2 linked regions of the Anolis sagrei genome follow. The protein of the gene in region 1 purifies or fractionates together with the protein of each later gene. This does not show direct contact. Links are inferred from orthologs where the notes say so. Each region holds a gene or a part of one and is shown on either strand. Other genes may lie near its edges.

Evidence for each region. The genes of interacting proteins can lie anywhere in the genome.
Region 2: the proteins of GIPC1 (region 1) and SH3BP4 purify together in Homo sapiens (affinity purification with mass spectrometry; 4 studies listed by BioGRID and IntAct, with this or other methods). This does not show direct contact. The link is inferred for Anolis sagrei from reciprocal best matches to the Homo sapiens genes GIPC1 and SH3BP4.

The regions. Positions count from the first base shown.
Region 1 is NC_090022.1:128,028,087-128,035,777, reverse strand, and holds the start of GIPC1 (PDZ domain-containing protein GIPC1), read right to left. Parts: upstream 3,284-7,691; 5' UTR 3,180-3,283; intron 1-3,179. UniProt on the Homo sapiens protein: May be involved in G protein-linked signaling.
Region 2 is NC_090021.1:161,632,928-161,641,167, reverse strand, and holds the start of SH3BP4 (SH3 domain-binding protein 4), read right to left. Parts: upstream 3,179-8,240; 5' UTR 2,996-3,178; intron 1-2,995. UniProt on the Homo sapiens protein: May function in transferrin receptor internalization at the plasma membrane through a cargo-specific control of clathrin-mediated endocytosis.

The sequences.
Region 1 (7,691 bases):
CAGGAGGGAAACAAGTTCTAGAGCTGAGGTTTGGCTTTGTTTATGTGTTCCTACATGGCAGGGAGGTATTTGACTGGATGGCTCTTGTGGTATCTTGCAATTCTATGATTCTAGATCATGAGAGGTGACACTTCTCTACAAAAGTGTACTCAGACCATATAGGGCTTTCAATAATAAAAATTACCATGCTTACTTTTAAAGACCAGCCACTGAAAGTCTCAGAGTGCCCAACATCATATCACTGGCATTTGAACTCAAGTTTTCAGGTTTCAAACAGCTTTGGCTACAGACGAAACCTGCCAAATATTAGGTATGTGCCAAGTGCTGAGTTTATCTCTGAAAAGCAGTGGGTAGATGTGGGAGAATATTGCATGCTGGAGGGGCTTAGACAAAAAAAAATTACCCCTGAGAAGCAGCTGAAGAAGAGCAAATGGTCAATTGTTCAACAGCAACTAGGCCTCGTGTATTTTTCTCTGACACTGGGTGTATTTATACCAGGCATGGGCAAACTTCGGCCCTCCAGGTGTTTTGGACTTCAACTCCCAGAATTGTGGGAGTTGAAGTCCAAAACACCTGTAGGGCCAAAGTTTGCCCATGCCTGAGCTATACTGTAGAATTAATGCAGACTGACATGACTGTAACTTAAATGGCTCAATGCAATGGAATTGTGGAAGTTGTAGTTTTACAAGGTCTTGAGCCTTCTCTGCCAAAGAGAGTTGGAGCCTAACCAAACTACAACTCCTAGGATACCATAGCACTTAAAAGGGTATCAAACTATGAATCCCGAGGCAAACCTAAACTAAGTAGAAAAATCTGGTTATACCCAACACCACACCTTACAGAGCCAAACACGTGCCAGAAAACACAGAGTATCTGCAGAATGAGGGGAAAGGGCTAAGCAGAATAACAAACAGATTAATACAAGTGGCATGTGATTTTTTTCCCTTGTTTCTTAGCTCCCTATGAAAACACTAATGCCACAGTAGAAGGATATTAGATAGCACACAGCAAGCAGGAAAGTATGCTTCCTTTGTTGCTTGGCATTTGGGTGTTGCTACCAGGTTACCCTCAATACCTACACTACAGTAAAAGGAAAACAAAGTCAGTGTAAGGACTGAACTATCCCTCCCATTGCACTGGAGATCCCAAGAGGAAACCTGCCATCAAAACACCATGTACCAGGAAGAACAAGGCAAACAGGCAACAGTCAAAGACCTAAATATATTTTGAACAAGGGGAGACTCAAAAACATTTGGCCCTCCAGATGTTTTGATTTCTACTCCCACAATTCCTAACAGTCTACCGGCTATTTGGAATTATGGGAGTTTGAGAGCCAAAGTTTGCTCATGTCTGCTCTAAAAGACCTACCTGTTAAAAACTCTAGGACCATAAAACATATGGAAACATCCTCCAGTGGTTCCCAAACTTTGGTCCTCTGGGGGAGCAGCTACACTGTTGAATTACTGTATATACTCGAGTATAAGCCTAGTCTTTCAGTCCTTTTTTAGGTTGACAAAGCCCCCCTCAGCTTATACTCAGGTGAAGGTCCTAGTGGGAAGGCATGGGGCTGAAAGGACCCTCACATCTCTGCACACCAACCCAGCTCTCCTTCCTCTCCTCCTCTCTCGGCACAGCACGCGCCTTCCCCTCCTCCTCCCTTGGCACCAGTCTTTTCCTCTTTTCCTTATTCATACACACACAGCATTTTCCCCAAGATGTATGGTTAAAATAAACTACGGAGATTATTGAAAAGGATATGTAAGCATACTTACATTGAATAAGGTTAGAATAATGATTTAATCAGAGTTGGACAGTCTTATCTTAAATTACAGTTTTATGTAAATACTGTATTCAAAATCATTTAACCTACTGATGCCTCCATTAATGTAATTTTATTTGTACCTTTTTAAAAAAAATTACTAGTGGCTGCTGCATTTCCCACCCTTAGCTTAAGGTAAAGGTTTCCCCTGACATCAAGTCTAGTCGTGTCTGACTCTGGGGAGTGGTGCTCATCTCCATTTCTAAGACAAAGAGCCAGCGTTGTCCATAGATGCCTCCAAGGTCATGTGGCCGGCATGACTGCATGGCGCGCAGTTACCTTCCCGCAGAAGTGGTACTTATTGATACACTCACATTTGCATGTTTTTGAACTGCTAGGTTGGCAGTAGCAGGACCTAACAGAGGGAGCTTACCCTGCTCCCTGGATTTGAACAACCAGCCTTTCGGTCAGCAAGTTCAGGGGCTCAGCAGTTTAATGCCCTTGGCTTATACTTCAGTCAATAAGTTTCCCCAGTTTTTGTGGTAAAATCAGGTGCCTTGGCTTATATTTGGGTCAGCTTATACTCGAGTATATATAGGTAATACACTTGCCACCACTTTAATACTATGGCTCAATGCTATGGGATCCTGGGTTTGTAGTTTGATGAGGTATGAATGCTCTTTGACAGAGAATGCAGAAGACCTTGTGAAGCTTCAGCTCCCAGGAGCCCAAAGACACTCTGAGTCCCCCCAGAGATGAGAAAGGCGGTATATAAATGCTGTAAATAAATAAATAGCCACTTCAGTTAAAGTGGTGTCAAACTGCATTCATTCCTTGGTGTAGATACACCCCAGATATCTCCCAGCCAGGAATGCTGGGAGTCGCAATACACCAGAAGGATCCAAGATTGGGAATTCTAGTCCTAGAGGGAAACTTCCCATGTAATAAAATAAACAAAAACTTTCAATACATGACAGTGATGTGTGCGAGCATGGACTATAAACTCCATCCAACCCTCTTTCCTGAAAGTGGGAGGGAAAGGCAAAGAAAAGGCGTGAGAGAAAGGAAAACAAACTCCAACTGGGGCGGGGGGGGGGGTGTCATGTGACTTTGTGACAAGGCAGAACTTCATTCAAAGAACCCAGCAACCATGGCTTTGGCTCCAACGAAGTGGAAGTCCCTCAGGGCAAAACATGACTACTAAAGGAGGCCTTCCTGGGGTCTCCTTCCCACGAATGTCGTCGTATCCAAGCAACCGGGACTGGGTTTCCTGCATGTGCGAACAGGCACGCAGCTTACGGGTTTGAGGGAGGGAAGCGTGAGGAGCCGGGACTCCTGAGCTCTGCCTTTCCGTCTACAAAAGACCCGTCTTGGCCCCTTCCTGCCCCTGGACCCCGTTCTCCCCGCCGCCTCTCCTTACCCGCGTCCGTTTCCTCGCCGGGCCCGTCCCTCAAGCCAACTCCAGCCCCGCGCAGACAGGCCTGTCCGTCAGCGATGGGCGGGACCGAAACGCCGTGCCTCCTGGCCAATCCCAGCGCGTTTCGCATTCTTCCCTGGCAAATCACAGGGTTAAGGCGGACGTTGAGGGCGTTTCACGGCAGGTCCCTTCCTTCTTCTCTTTCGCCTCTCTCCCCCATAAAGGTGCAATGGAAGGGGCGGGATTGGAGGCGGGGAAAGAAGAGCGCGAGGGAGCGGGGCATACCAATCTTGAAAAGGGGAGGGCCATTCAAAGAATGCGCCGGCTTCCCAGCCCCGAAAGTTACGTTTGGTTCGTGCTTGTGCCCTCGCAGCCTCTACTGGCCAATCGCTGTCACTACAGCCTTCTGGAAGCAATAACAAGGCCGAAAGCTGGGCGTGGTCTGAGCCAGAGGCGACCCATCTGTTCTGTTCTCAGGAAGGGAAGGGCCTGTTGGTGGGGCGCGGCCAGAGTCAACGCAGGTCGGAAAGCTGCGCGCGCAGGCGCATCCGGCTAATGGCAAGCGACCTTGTGTATCCGCGGATTCAGTCATCCGCGCCTGAAAATTATTTATTTATTTACGACATTTATATGCCGCCCTTCTCACCCAGAAAGGACACTCAGAGAGGTTTACAAGATATATATACATACAATATATTATATTATTAGCATAGTACAATATCAGTATCATATTGGCGGATCTGGTCACCTCCAGATTGGACTACTGTAATGCACTCTACGTGGGGCTACCCTTGAAAACGGCCCGGTAATTTCAATTGGTTCAACGAGCGGCGGCCAGGTTGTTAACTGGAGCTCCTTACAGGGAGTGGTCAACCCTCCTGTTTAAGGAGCTCCATTGGCTGCCGTTCATTTACCGGTCCCAATTCAAGGTGCAGGTGCTTATCTACAAAGCCCTAAACGGTTTGCGACCTGCCTACCTGCGTGACCGTATCTCTGTGTACGAACCCACACGATCTGTTCGATCTTCTGGAGAGGCCCTGCTCACGCTCCCACCACCATCGCAAGCGCGATTGGTGGGGACGAGGGAGAGAGCCTTCTCGGTGGTGGCCCCTCGACTCTGGAACTCACTTCCCAAGGACATTAGGCAAGCCCCAACTCTGGCAGTCTTTAGGAGGAGCCTGAAAACGTGGCTGTTTCAGTGTGCCTTCCCAGAATAAGGAAACTCCCAGCAATATGTCCCTAAACGCACTTTAATAATGATTTAAGATTGTCTGCACATTTCTTCCCTCTCCAAAATTTCTATCCCAGTTACATGTCACCTTGTCATGCTCAGCATTATTTTTTAATTTTTTAATTATTAAATTTGGCCGGGCCATAGGTTTTTAAATACGTTGTGTTATTGTTAATGTTTATTGTTTATTTTTGCTTATGAGTTTATTTATTGTTTTGTATTGTTGATATTATTGTTTATTGTTGTATTGTGGGCTCGGCCTCATGTAAGCCGCACCGAGTCCCTTGGGGAGATGGTAGTGGGGTACAAATAAAGTGTTATTATTATATATATTACTATATTGTACTATACTATTACATTGTAATATTATTAGTAATATTACATGTAATATAAAATATATAATTATAATATCATATTATTATTATATTGTATTACATTATAATACTATAAATATTATATGTATATATACAATATATTATATTACGTTTCATTATATTATTAGCATAGCACAGGAGACAAGATGGAACTGTTCCCTGCCCCCCCCCCCCCCTCTTCACTCTGGCCCAGAGCGGCAGTTGGTGCTGGGGGGAGGGGTCCCCCAGAAAAGACATTTGAATTGCTGTCTAATTCAAAATACTATCCAAATTATAATGCTTGCTGTCACATTATAAATTATAATGTGACAAGGATCCCCGGGTTGAGGTTGCCTTCTTTCGGGGGACTACCTCTTCTTCTTTGGATAATATTTTGAATTGGATAGCAATTTGAACTATTTGGACTTTATGTGGACTGCATTTTGAAGACAGTTTGCTTTTTGTGTGTGTTTTAATTGAAAGCTTAGTATTATACTTTTCTCTGTAGGTAACTCACCCACCCTCCTCCAGCTTCAGAAGTTATTAAAATGCTAGTTTGGCAGATCAAGTTAAGTGTAATTCCCTGTACCACTATTTTTAATGTATCAGAGGTTGCCAGTTATTAATATTGATGACACCTGGTTGCCTAAGAAATATCTATTGAAATTAGTGGGTTTAGTCACATCTAGGTCTCTTGACACTCCCAGGAGGTAGATTAAACAAGTGTTACTTAACCCGTCTGAGGTGAGCCAGGGACTAGCATTTTATGTGTGCCCATTTACTACAGCTGTTCCTTTCCTAGCAATTTGTGAGCCAGCACCTGCCTTTGGACCATGACAAGGAGCAGTGCTGCATTAGACAATAAGGCATACAAGGACTCCCAGCAGCCCCAAGTACCATAGTGAATCTTGCGGAGAGTTACTATTCAGCAGCATCAAAACAACCACTGAATAAGTGCATGGCCTATGGTATGCATGGACAATGAGTGAGTAGCCCCTTTTCCTTGAGCTTCGGAAGGTCTTTTGACCAGACCACCTAAGGTATGGAGCTCATGGACATGGTAATGACTTGACACAAAGGACATTTTCCCCAACCATGAGGGGAAGGGGATGTCACAGCCATTCCCTGTCCCAGAAGATCCAAGATCTTATCAAATAAACCAATATCACCGAACCTTTTGATAATGGATTGGATCTTCGGGGCCAAACAAAGATGTTGTTTCCATATTCTACACTGACATCAGAGCCAATCACAGCAAAGCTGTCTCGGGGTGGGTGTGGGAAATTTGGATTTGACAGTTCTATATATTCTGTATTGGCCTGCCCAAAAAGCATGTTGGCTTCTTGGCAGATTACTTTCCACCTGGAATAGAAAATAAACTTCTGTGGCCTTGTTTCATCCTGGTGAGATTTATTTGGAAATAGGGAAAGTTTGGTTGGTGCTTATTGTTTACCCAGGCTTATTGAGCCCTCCTTTTGGGTCCTCTCCAGCCTCTGCTCATGGAGGGCCCCCTAAAATCGTGCTCTGCTTCAACAGGGTGAAGGCAAGAACCAGAGGTTTATTCACTTTGGCCGAATGTAGATGTCAGGGAAGAAGTGCTCCCAAATCAGACATAAAGCCAATGGATACATACATAGATACATAAATGTCTCTAAGAAACATTTATTAGAGACTTGACAGCAATTCAAATAATGGACTTTTGCTGCTCCGGGTGCTGATTGATATAGGTTACGATCTGTGTGCTGATTGGTGGAGGAGCACCGCCTGCTGCTGCAGCTGATTACTTCCCCAGTCTAACTAGTTCCTCAGTCTAGTTCCCCAGTCTGTCAGAAATTAAATTGTTATTGTCCAGTTTGAAGCTTGTGATTGTTTTGCGTGTCCGCCTTTGGGTGCTTAAAGGAAAGGAATGTGGGCAAGGTCCAGGACTGATGAGTTTTCATGGTTTTTAATTCTGTCAGTGATCTCACAATAGAAAATAATGGGTGCCAAAACACCCAGGGAGAGACAAAGACAGCATGCTGACCTTTCAGGCTGGCCATTGTTAGGTGGAGTTCAATGTTAGCCAGGAAGGATTAGCACCAAGTGATTGTTTGAACCACCAGGAAGAGTAATGAAATTAGCCCTGGCTGTCCGTCCCCCCCCCCCCCTTCCAGGAGTGCTTGTGTAACTGTGTGTAAATGTGGTAAAGTTTATCCTTTAATGTCAGCCAGTGGGACCCTTCGTGGCCATCTAGTCAGACCTCTCTTGGTTGTGGGTTTTGGGGTTATAGTTTCAATAACAAGCCCACAGGGCTTTCTTAAGAAAGGAATATCCAGACATCATTTGACAGTTCCTTCTCCTAAAATATAGCCTACAGCGCCTAATATTTATTGCTGCTGTCCCATCCAAGTAGTAACTAGAGGTGATTCTACTTTATTTTACAAGTAGATTCCAGAATCAGACAGAATCTGGTGCCATTAAAGTATTTAAACGCTATATGCCTTTGAGATAAAATGCTTGGCTTAAGATGTGATTGAGACTTTTCTGTTGCAGACATGCGAGAAGCTCTAAATTGTATGCTCAGATTAGAGGTTTTACTCACAAAAAACTAGCCTATAGGAATGAAAAGTGCTAGCTAGAACTGAACCTTATTGAGCAAGTTTTCGTCAATATGGTTAAAATTTCCAATACAAAGCTACTGAAAGCAGTGGTCTATGGAATTGTGTCAATCCACAGAAACGTTCCAGGAAAGAAAGAAAAAAAAATCAATGGGCTTATATATAGTGCTAGTCTTTGGCACACTGGGAAACAAACAGCCTGCCACTCCCATGTATCAGAGAGCTTAACGGGTACTGCTCTAGAACATACCCATGGCCAATACTTTGAAGCTGAACAGATCTTTCCAAATCTCCTTAGCTATTAGTTGATGGTGCTTTGCATTGGGTCAGATGC
Region 2 (8,240 bases), on another chromosome or scaffold:
TTGGAGGGCCGTATCCAGCCCCTAGGCCAGGGGTCCTCAAACTTTTTAAACAGAGGGCCAGATCACAGCCCCTCAAACTGTTGGAGGGGCGGATTATAATTTAAAAAAACATGACTGAATTCCTATGCACACTGAACATATCTTATTTGTAGTGAAAAAACACTATAATAATTAAAATGAAGAACAATTGTAACAAACATAAACTTATTGGTATTTCAATGGGAAATGTGGGACTGCTTGTTGTTGTTGTTGTTGTTGTGTGCTTTCAAGTAATTTCAGACTTAAGTTGACCCTGAGCGAGGGCCAGGCAATGACCTTGGAGGGCTGTATCCACCCCTCGGGCCTTAGTTTGAGGACCCCTGCCCTAGGCCATAGTTTGGGGACCCCTGCTCCAGAGGCACAGCCAAAAGGCACTATCCCATGCTGGCTGTCAGAATGTATCAGGGCATCCTCCCAGTTCTAGGGATGTTGAATGGATTGATCTGCTTCAATGCGTGTGCCTTCAAGTTCCCTTAGGCAAGGAAATCCTCTGAGTGCTTTTGCCCAGCACATGGACAAGGCATTATTTTACCTAATAAATAAAAAAGCAGCCAGACTAAAATGATGAAAGATCTGGAGACCATAAATCGCTATGAATAGTGTCTTAAAAGAGCTGTGGATATTTAGGCTGAAGAAGAGGAAGCTGAGAGGAGACATGATTGCCAGGAATTTCATAAAGAAGAGGGAACTGGCTTGCTTTCCGCTGCCTTAGAGACTAGGACTGGGTTCAAACTACAGGAAAGGAGATTCCACCTGAACTTGAGGAAGAACGTCCTGTGAGAGCTATGTAACAGTGGAACTCTCTGCTTTGCAGTGTGGTGAGGGCTCCTTCTTTGGAGGCTTTTAAACAGAGGCTAGGTGGCCATCTGTCAGGGGTTTTTGATTGTGCTTTTCCTGCTGGGCAGAGAGTTGGATTGGATGGCCCTTGGGGTCTCTTCCAACCTTATGATCCTCCTCCTTCCTAGTGTTTGCCCCACAAATTCACAGGGTCCGCTAGGGGCTCTTCCACACAGCCAGGCATGTAGCTTCACCCCCCCCCCCCCCCAAATTCTCATGGTGGTCCGTGAGAAGGCCTTACTGGTACATTATTTAAACTGTTATGTTTATTAATATCATGATCTGATCACCATGCTCAATATATCTCATGTGTATTGGGGTAACGATACAAAAGGTTTGCTAAGGTAGACCCTCTTTCACCCAGACTCAGCCCCACCCCAAGAATCAAACTCACCCCCCCCCCCCCCCCCGAATCAAAATCCTGGCTACGGGCCTGCACACAGCCCTATATCCCAGAATATCAAGGCAGAAAATCCCACAATATCTGCTTTGAACTGGGTTATCTGAGTCCACACTCCCATATATTCCAGTTCAAAGCAGAAATTGTGTGGTGTGGAAGGGGCTTAGGTTCCAACCCAATGATCCTAACCCAAGCCAGTGACAACAAGTCTCGCTCTGAGTGTCTCCATATGCAAAACCCGACCAATAACCCTCCAAAATCTCGCAGGGAACCAGGGTTTCCCGCCTGCTCTTCTCCCATTGAAAGCCTCCAAATGGACCAAGAAAAAGCCATGGGATACGTTTGCAAAGGAATGCAGTTTGGACTGCGCTATATGGAGCCCCCGGTGGCGCAGTGGGTTAAACCGCTGAGCTGCTGAACTTGTTGACCAAAAGGTTGTAGGTTCAAATCCGGGGAGTGGTGTGAGCTTCCGCTGTCAGCCCCAACTTCTGCCAACCTAGCAGTTCGAAAACATGCAAATGTGAGTAGATCAATAGGTACCTTACCTCCAGCAGGAAGGTAAGGGTGTTCATAGAATCATAGAATCAAAGAGTTGGAAGAGACCTCATGGGCCATCCAGTCCAACCCCCTGCCAAGAAGCAGGAATATTGCATTCAAATCACCCCTGACAGATGGCCATCCAGCCTCTGTTTAAAAGCTTCCATGCAGGTTGGCCAGCTACATGACCTTGCAGGTGTCTACGGACAATGCCGGCTCTTCGGCTTAGAAATGGAGATGAGCACCAACCCCCAGAGTCGGACACGACTGGACTTGATGTCAGGGGAAAGGTTTTACCTTATATGGTCAGTATAGACCAGGCATGGGCAAACTTCGTCCCTCCCTCCAGGTATTTTGGACTTCAACTCCCACAATTCCTAACAGCCGTGCATGGGCAAACTTCGTCCCTCCCTCCAGGTATTTTGGACTTCAACTCCCACAATTCCTAACAGCCGTGCATGGGCAAACTTCGTCCCTCCCTCCAGGTGTTTTGGACTTCAACTCCCACAATTCCTAACAGCCGTGCATGGGCAAACTTCAGCCCTCCCTCCAGGTATTTTGGACTTCAACTCCCACAATTCCCAACAGCCGTGCATGGGCAAACTTCGGCCCTCCCTCCAGGTATTTTGGACTTCAAAACACCTGGAGGGAGGACCGAAGTTTGCCCATGCCTGGCGTAGACCATATAAAGTATGTGTTTCTATGGGTCTGCACTACACTGGCCGTGGAATGAAGTCCAGGCGGCATTCTTTGGGAGGGGAGACTCCCCAGCCTGAGAAGCAGACGCCCCCAGACCTGGAGTCCAAAGAAGGGGGGGGGCACCCCTAAAGCCCCGAAGCCATGCCGAAGAGAAACGAGCCCCCCTCCCTTTCCCGTGGAAAGTCTCCACTAACTCGATACAATTACAGACCCCAGGAGCGGGGGGCCCTGGGGAGGGGAAACTAATCCGCATCAAGAAGCAACCCGCAGCAAGTCTCGGAAAGTGTGGTGGGAGTGGCTCCTTCCAACACCCGAGGCGCCTTCTCAAGGAGGCATCCAGCCAATGGATCCATTCCGCTTTGCAGGCTGGCGCTTTGGGGGGGGGGGGGGGGGCGAGGGAGAGAGAGAGAGAGAGAGAGAGGAGGCACTCAGTACTGACCCCCCCCCCCCCCCACTCCATGGGCGCCTCTCGGAGCGGCTTACCTCTCCGCTGCTCTCCAGCCGGATGTGGAGGAGTAGAAGCGCGGCCAAGGCAGATAGATCCAGCGCAGGCGGTCAGGGGGTCAAGCAGGCAGCCAACTCCGGGGCTCTCTCATCCTTTCTCTCCGCCAGGGAGGCGAGGCAAGGCAAGGCAAGGCGGGGGCGTCCCCTGGGCGGCCGCGGCAGGGACCTCCTCGCTGATGTCACGGGGGAGGGAGGGGGGGGAGGGAGGGAGAGGGGAGGGAAGGAGCAGGGGGAGGGGCCGGGAGGGGGAAGCCCGGAGGAAGAGCCCCGCCCCCTCGCCACGCCAGGGCACGCGCCCAAGGGGAGGAGAGGGAGAGCGCGCGCCCCCGATAGCCACAAGTGGGGAGCAAGGAGAACTTTCAACCTGAGGGTGGGAAGGCGGAGGGGAGGTGTGTGGGGAGAATGGCTGCCCCCTATACGGGGCAAGATAATTATAATAATAGTCTCCTTGTGGAGAGAAAAAAGCAGGTAAAAATAAAGAAACAATGTATTGTCGAAGGCTTTCATGGCCGGAATCACTGGGTTGTTGTAGGTTTTTTCGGGCTGTATGGCCATGGTCTAGAGCAGGGGTCAGGAACCTTCGGCCTTCCAGGTGTGGTGGACTTCAACTCCGACAATTCCTTGGGCCAAGGTAAGCCTTTGGGACAAATGCCGAGCCTCAAGGAATTGTGGGAGTTGAAGTCCACCACACCTGGAGGGCCGAAGGTTCCCCATGCCTGGTCTAGAGGCATTCTCTCCTGACGTTTCACCTTCATCTATGGCAAGCCTCCTCAGAGGTAGTTCTGAGGAACTAGGAAAAAGGGTTTATATTAGGCCTGGGTAACAACGGAAAAATTTGTTTCTAAAATCCATTCATTTTTTGGGGGATTTTGCGTTTCGATATTTAAAATAATTACAAAATTTTCCTTTTAAAAAGTTCGATATTTATGAAATTTCGTAAATGCTAAAAAAATAACGAATCGATTTCCGAAACAATAACGAATCGATTCGTTAATGGCAGACGCAACCGCAAAATACGCTAAAAAACCTCCAAAAACTTCTGAAGCTTCCCTCTCCCTCTGTTGTTGACTGTTGGTGTGATATTATAATTTTTTTTCACTAATTAAACCATAAAACTGGCCCAGATATGCGGAAATAATAACGAAACGACCTCAGAACAATAACGAAACGAATACAATAACGAAATATGAAGCATTTACAAAACGTCTTTAAAAATTCGTTTTTTTAAAAAATTGCTCCAGAATGGTTCGTTATCGCTTCGTAATCAACAAAATTAATGAATTATTAACAAATTACGAATTAACGAAATGAAACTGCCCAGCCCTAGTTTATATATCTGTGGAATGACCAGGGTGAGACAAATGACTCTTGTCTGCTGGAGCTAGGGTATGAATGTTTCAACTGACCACCTTGATTAGCATACAATGGGCTGACTGTGCCTGGAGCAAACTTTTGTTGAGAGGTAATTAGATGTCTACATAGGGACCACCAAACGCAGCATTGCCCAAACACGAATCAAGGAACATGAAAGGCACTGCAGACTACTTCAACCAGAGAAATCAGCCATAGCAGAGCACCTGATGAACCAACCTGGACACAGCATTTTATTTGAGAACACAGAAATGCTGGACCACTCTCACAACCACCATGTCAGACTACACAGAGAAGCCATTGAAATCCACAAGCATGTGAACAATTTCAACAGAAAGGAGGAAACCATGAAAATGAACAAAATCTGGCTACCAGTATTGAAAAACTCTAAAATTGCAGCAGCACAACAACAGAGAGGAAGCAGGCTGGGATATCTAATTACCTCTCAACAAAAGTTTGCTCCAGGCACAGTCAGCCCATTGTATGCTAATCAAGGTGGTCAGTTGAAACATTCACACCTAGCTCCAGCAGACAAGAGTCCTTTGTCTCACCCTGGTCATTCCACAGATATATAAACCCTTTCTCCTAGTTCCAACAGACCTCACTACCTCTGAGGATGCTTGCCATAGATGCAGGCAAAACGTCAGGAGGGAATGCCTCTAGACCATGGCCATATAGCCCGAAAAACCTACAACAACCCAGTGATTCCGACAATACATCCTCACCATATACGGCTCTCACAGTCAGAACTTCCTGACTGTGAGAGCCGTTCAGCAGTGGAACTCTCTGCCCTGGAGTGTGGTGGAGGCTCCTTTGGAAGCTTTTAAACAAAGGCTGGATGGCCATCTGTCAGGGGTGATTTGAATGCAATATTCCTGCTTCTTGGCAGGGGTTGGACGTGATGGCCCATGAGGTCTCTTCCAACACTTTGATTCTATGATTCTATGATTTATTTACTAGCTGTACCCGCTATGCGTTGCTGTGCCCAACCTTCCTTCCCTCCCTCTTTCCTTTCTTTCTCTCCTTTCCTCCCTCCCTTTCTTTCCTTCCTTCTCTTCATCTCCCCCCCCCCTTTTCTTTCCCTTCTCCTTCTCCCCTTTCTTCCTTCTCTACTTATTATTGGACTGCAAATCCCAGCAGTCCTCCTGATTGATTTATGTACCTATCTACCTATCTATCTCTATTTAATCCAGTGTTTCTCAACCTGGGGGTCGGGACCCCTGTTGGGGTCATGAGGGGGTGTCAGAGGGGTCGCCAAAGACCATCAGATAACATAGTATTTTCAGTTGGTCATGGGGGTTCTGTGTGGAAAGTTTGGTCCAATTGTATCGTTGGTGGGGTTGAGAATACTATTTCATTGTGGATGAACTATAAATCCCAACAACTACAACTCCCAAATGGCAAGGTCTATTTTCTCCAAACAGTGTTCACATTTGGGCATATTGAGTATTTGTGCCAAGTTTGATCCGGATCCATCATTGCTTGAGTCCACAGTGTTCTCTGGATGTAGGTGAACTACAACTCCAAAAAGCCAAGGTCAATGTCCACCAGACCTTCCCAGTATTTTCTCTTAGTCGTGGGATTTCTGTGTGCCATTTTTGATTCATTTCCATCATTGATGGAGTTCAGAAGGCTCTTTGATTTAAGGTGAACTATAAATCCCAGTAACTCCAGCATTACCAAATGACAAAATCAATCTCCCCGACCCCACCAGTATTCAAATTTTGGGCGTATCGAGTATTTGTGCCAAATTTGGTCCAGGGACTGAAAATATATTCCGCATATCAGATATTTACATTACAATTCATAACAGTAGCAAAATTACAGTTATGAAGTAGCAACAAAAATAACGTTATGGTTGGGGGTCACCACAACATGACGACCTGTATTAAGGGACCGTGGCATTAGGAAGGTTGAGAACCACTGATCTAATCTATTTATCTTATCGATCTGGAGCAGAGGTCCTCAAACTATGGCCCGGGGACCGGACACGGCCCTCCAAGGTCATTTACCCGGCCCTCGCTCAGGGTCAATCTAAGTCTGAAACGACTAGACACACAACTACAACAACAATCCTATCTCATAAGCCAAAAGCAGGCCCACACTTCCCATTAAAGTACTAATAAGCTTATATTTGTTAAAATTGTTCTTCATTTTAATTATTATATTGTTTTTAAGTGTTTTTGCACAATAAATAAGATATGTGCAGTGTGCATAGGAATTCATTCATTTTTTTTTTCAAATTATAATCCGGCCCTCCAACAGTTTGAAGGACTGTGACCTGGCCCTTTGTTTAAAAAGTTTGAGGACCTCTGATCTGGAGGATTGCTGGGAGTTGCAGTCCAGGAATAGGAAATTGGAAACATGCAGGGATTGGGATGCTCTCAGAGAGATCCAAGGAGAAGAAAACTTGCATCTTGGAAGAAGTGCATTTGGATCATCTTCTCCTAAAAGGCCTGGTCTAGGGGATGCTGGGAGCCGTAGTCCGGAAGAGAGTGAGGATATGCAGAAAAAATGAAATGCAAAGATACAGAATGGGGGACTTGTGGCTCGACAGTGGTATATGTGAAAAAGATCTTGGGGTCCTCGTGGACAACAAGTTAAACATGAGCCAACAATGTGATGCGGTGGCATTGACTTAGAGACACATAACTGTTGTAGAGCAATTTAGAATGGCTGTGGATTAGGCCCAAGCCATTGTGGATTGCCTGGTGAGAAAGGAGAAGCCAATATTGCAAAATAAATCTCACCAAGTTGAAGCAGAAGCCACCGAGATGATTTATTAGCTCCCTCCTACCCATGACTTCCTCTCACGTATTTATACATGGCCCTTACCATGTCTCCTCTCAGCCTTCTCTTCTTCAGGCTAAACATGCCCAGCTCTTTAAGCCGCTCCTCATAAGACTTGTTCTCCAGACCCTTGATCATTTTAGTCACCTTCCCCTAGATACATTCCAGTTTGTCAATATCTCTCTTGAATTGTGGTGCCCAGAATTGGACACAATATTCCAGGTGTGGTCTAACCATGACAGAAAAGAGGGGTAGCATGACTTCCCTGGATCTAGATACTATACTCCTATTGATGCAGGCCAAAATCCCATTGGCTTTTTTTGCCGCCGCATCACATTGTTGGGTCAAGATATATGAATGAGCTTACATTTTGAAATGGTTGTTGTTGTGTGTCTTCAAGTCAATTTGGACTCTTGGTGACCCTGTCCTGGGGTTTCTTTGACAGCATTTATTCAGATAATGTCCACCCTGCCTTCCTCTTTGGCGGAGAGAGCATAACTTGCCCAAGGTGACTCTGTGAGTTTCAGCGGCTGAGCAGGTTTTCCAGAGTCATAATCCAACTGTCAGACCATCACTTGAGGCTTTGTATGAATTTAACTAATGTGTAACAATTGCTGGTTATATTTATGGCCTTGCCATTTGGGGAATGGTTCCCTGGATATACAGCAATAAGAGTTCAATTATTTCTGAGTCATGTCCATTAAAGAAAAGATACCATTAACCCTAATAATTTTTATTCTGTACAAACTTAATTGTACACTTTGTAGTCTAGCTTTCTTTCAGGAAGAAACTGAAATCCAGAAGAGGTTTATGACAGTGTCAGAAAAAGAATCGGGGGTGAACATCCTTTACATTTTTGAGCAAACAGATGACAGCAATAATGTTTGATCAAGTGGGTTTCTTGCCCTCATCTGCCCCTGTTTACTTTATAGGTGCACAGTGAGTACCGTATATTCCGACATATAAGACAACTGAGTGTGTAAGACCCCCAACTTTTCCAGTTAAAATATAAAGTTTGGGATATACTCGCTGTATAAGACTGCCCCTCTTCCAACGCACACCA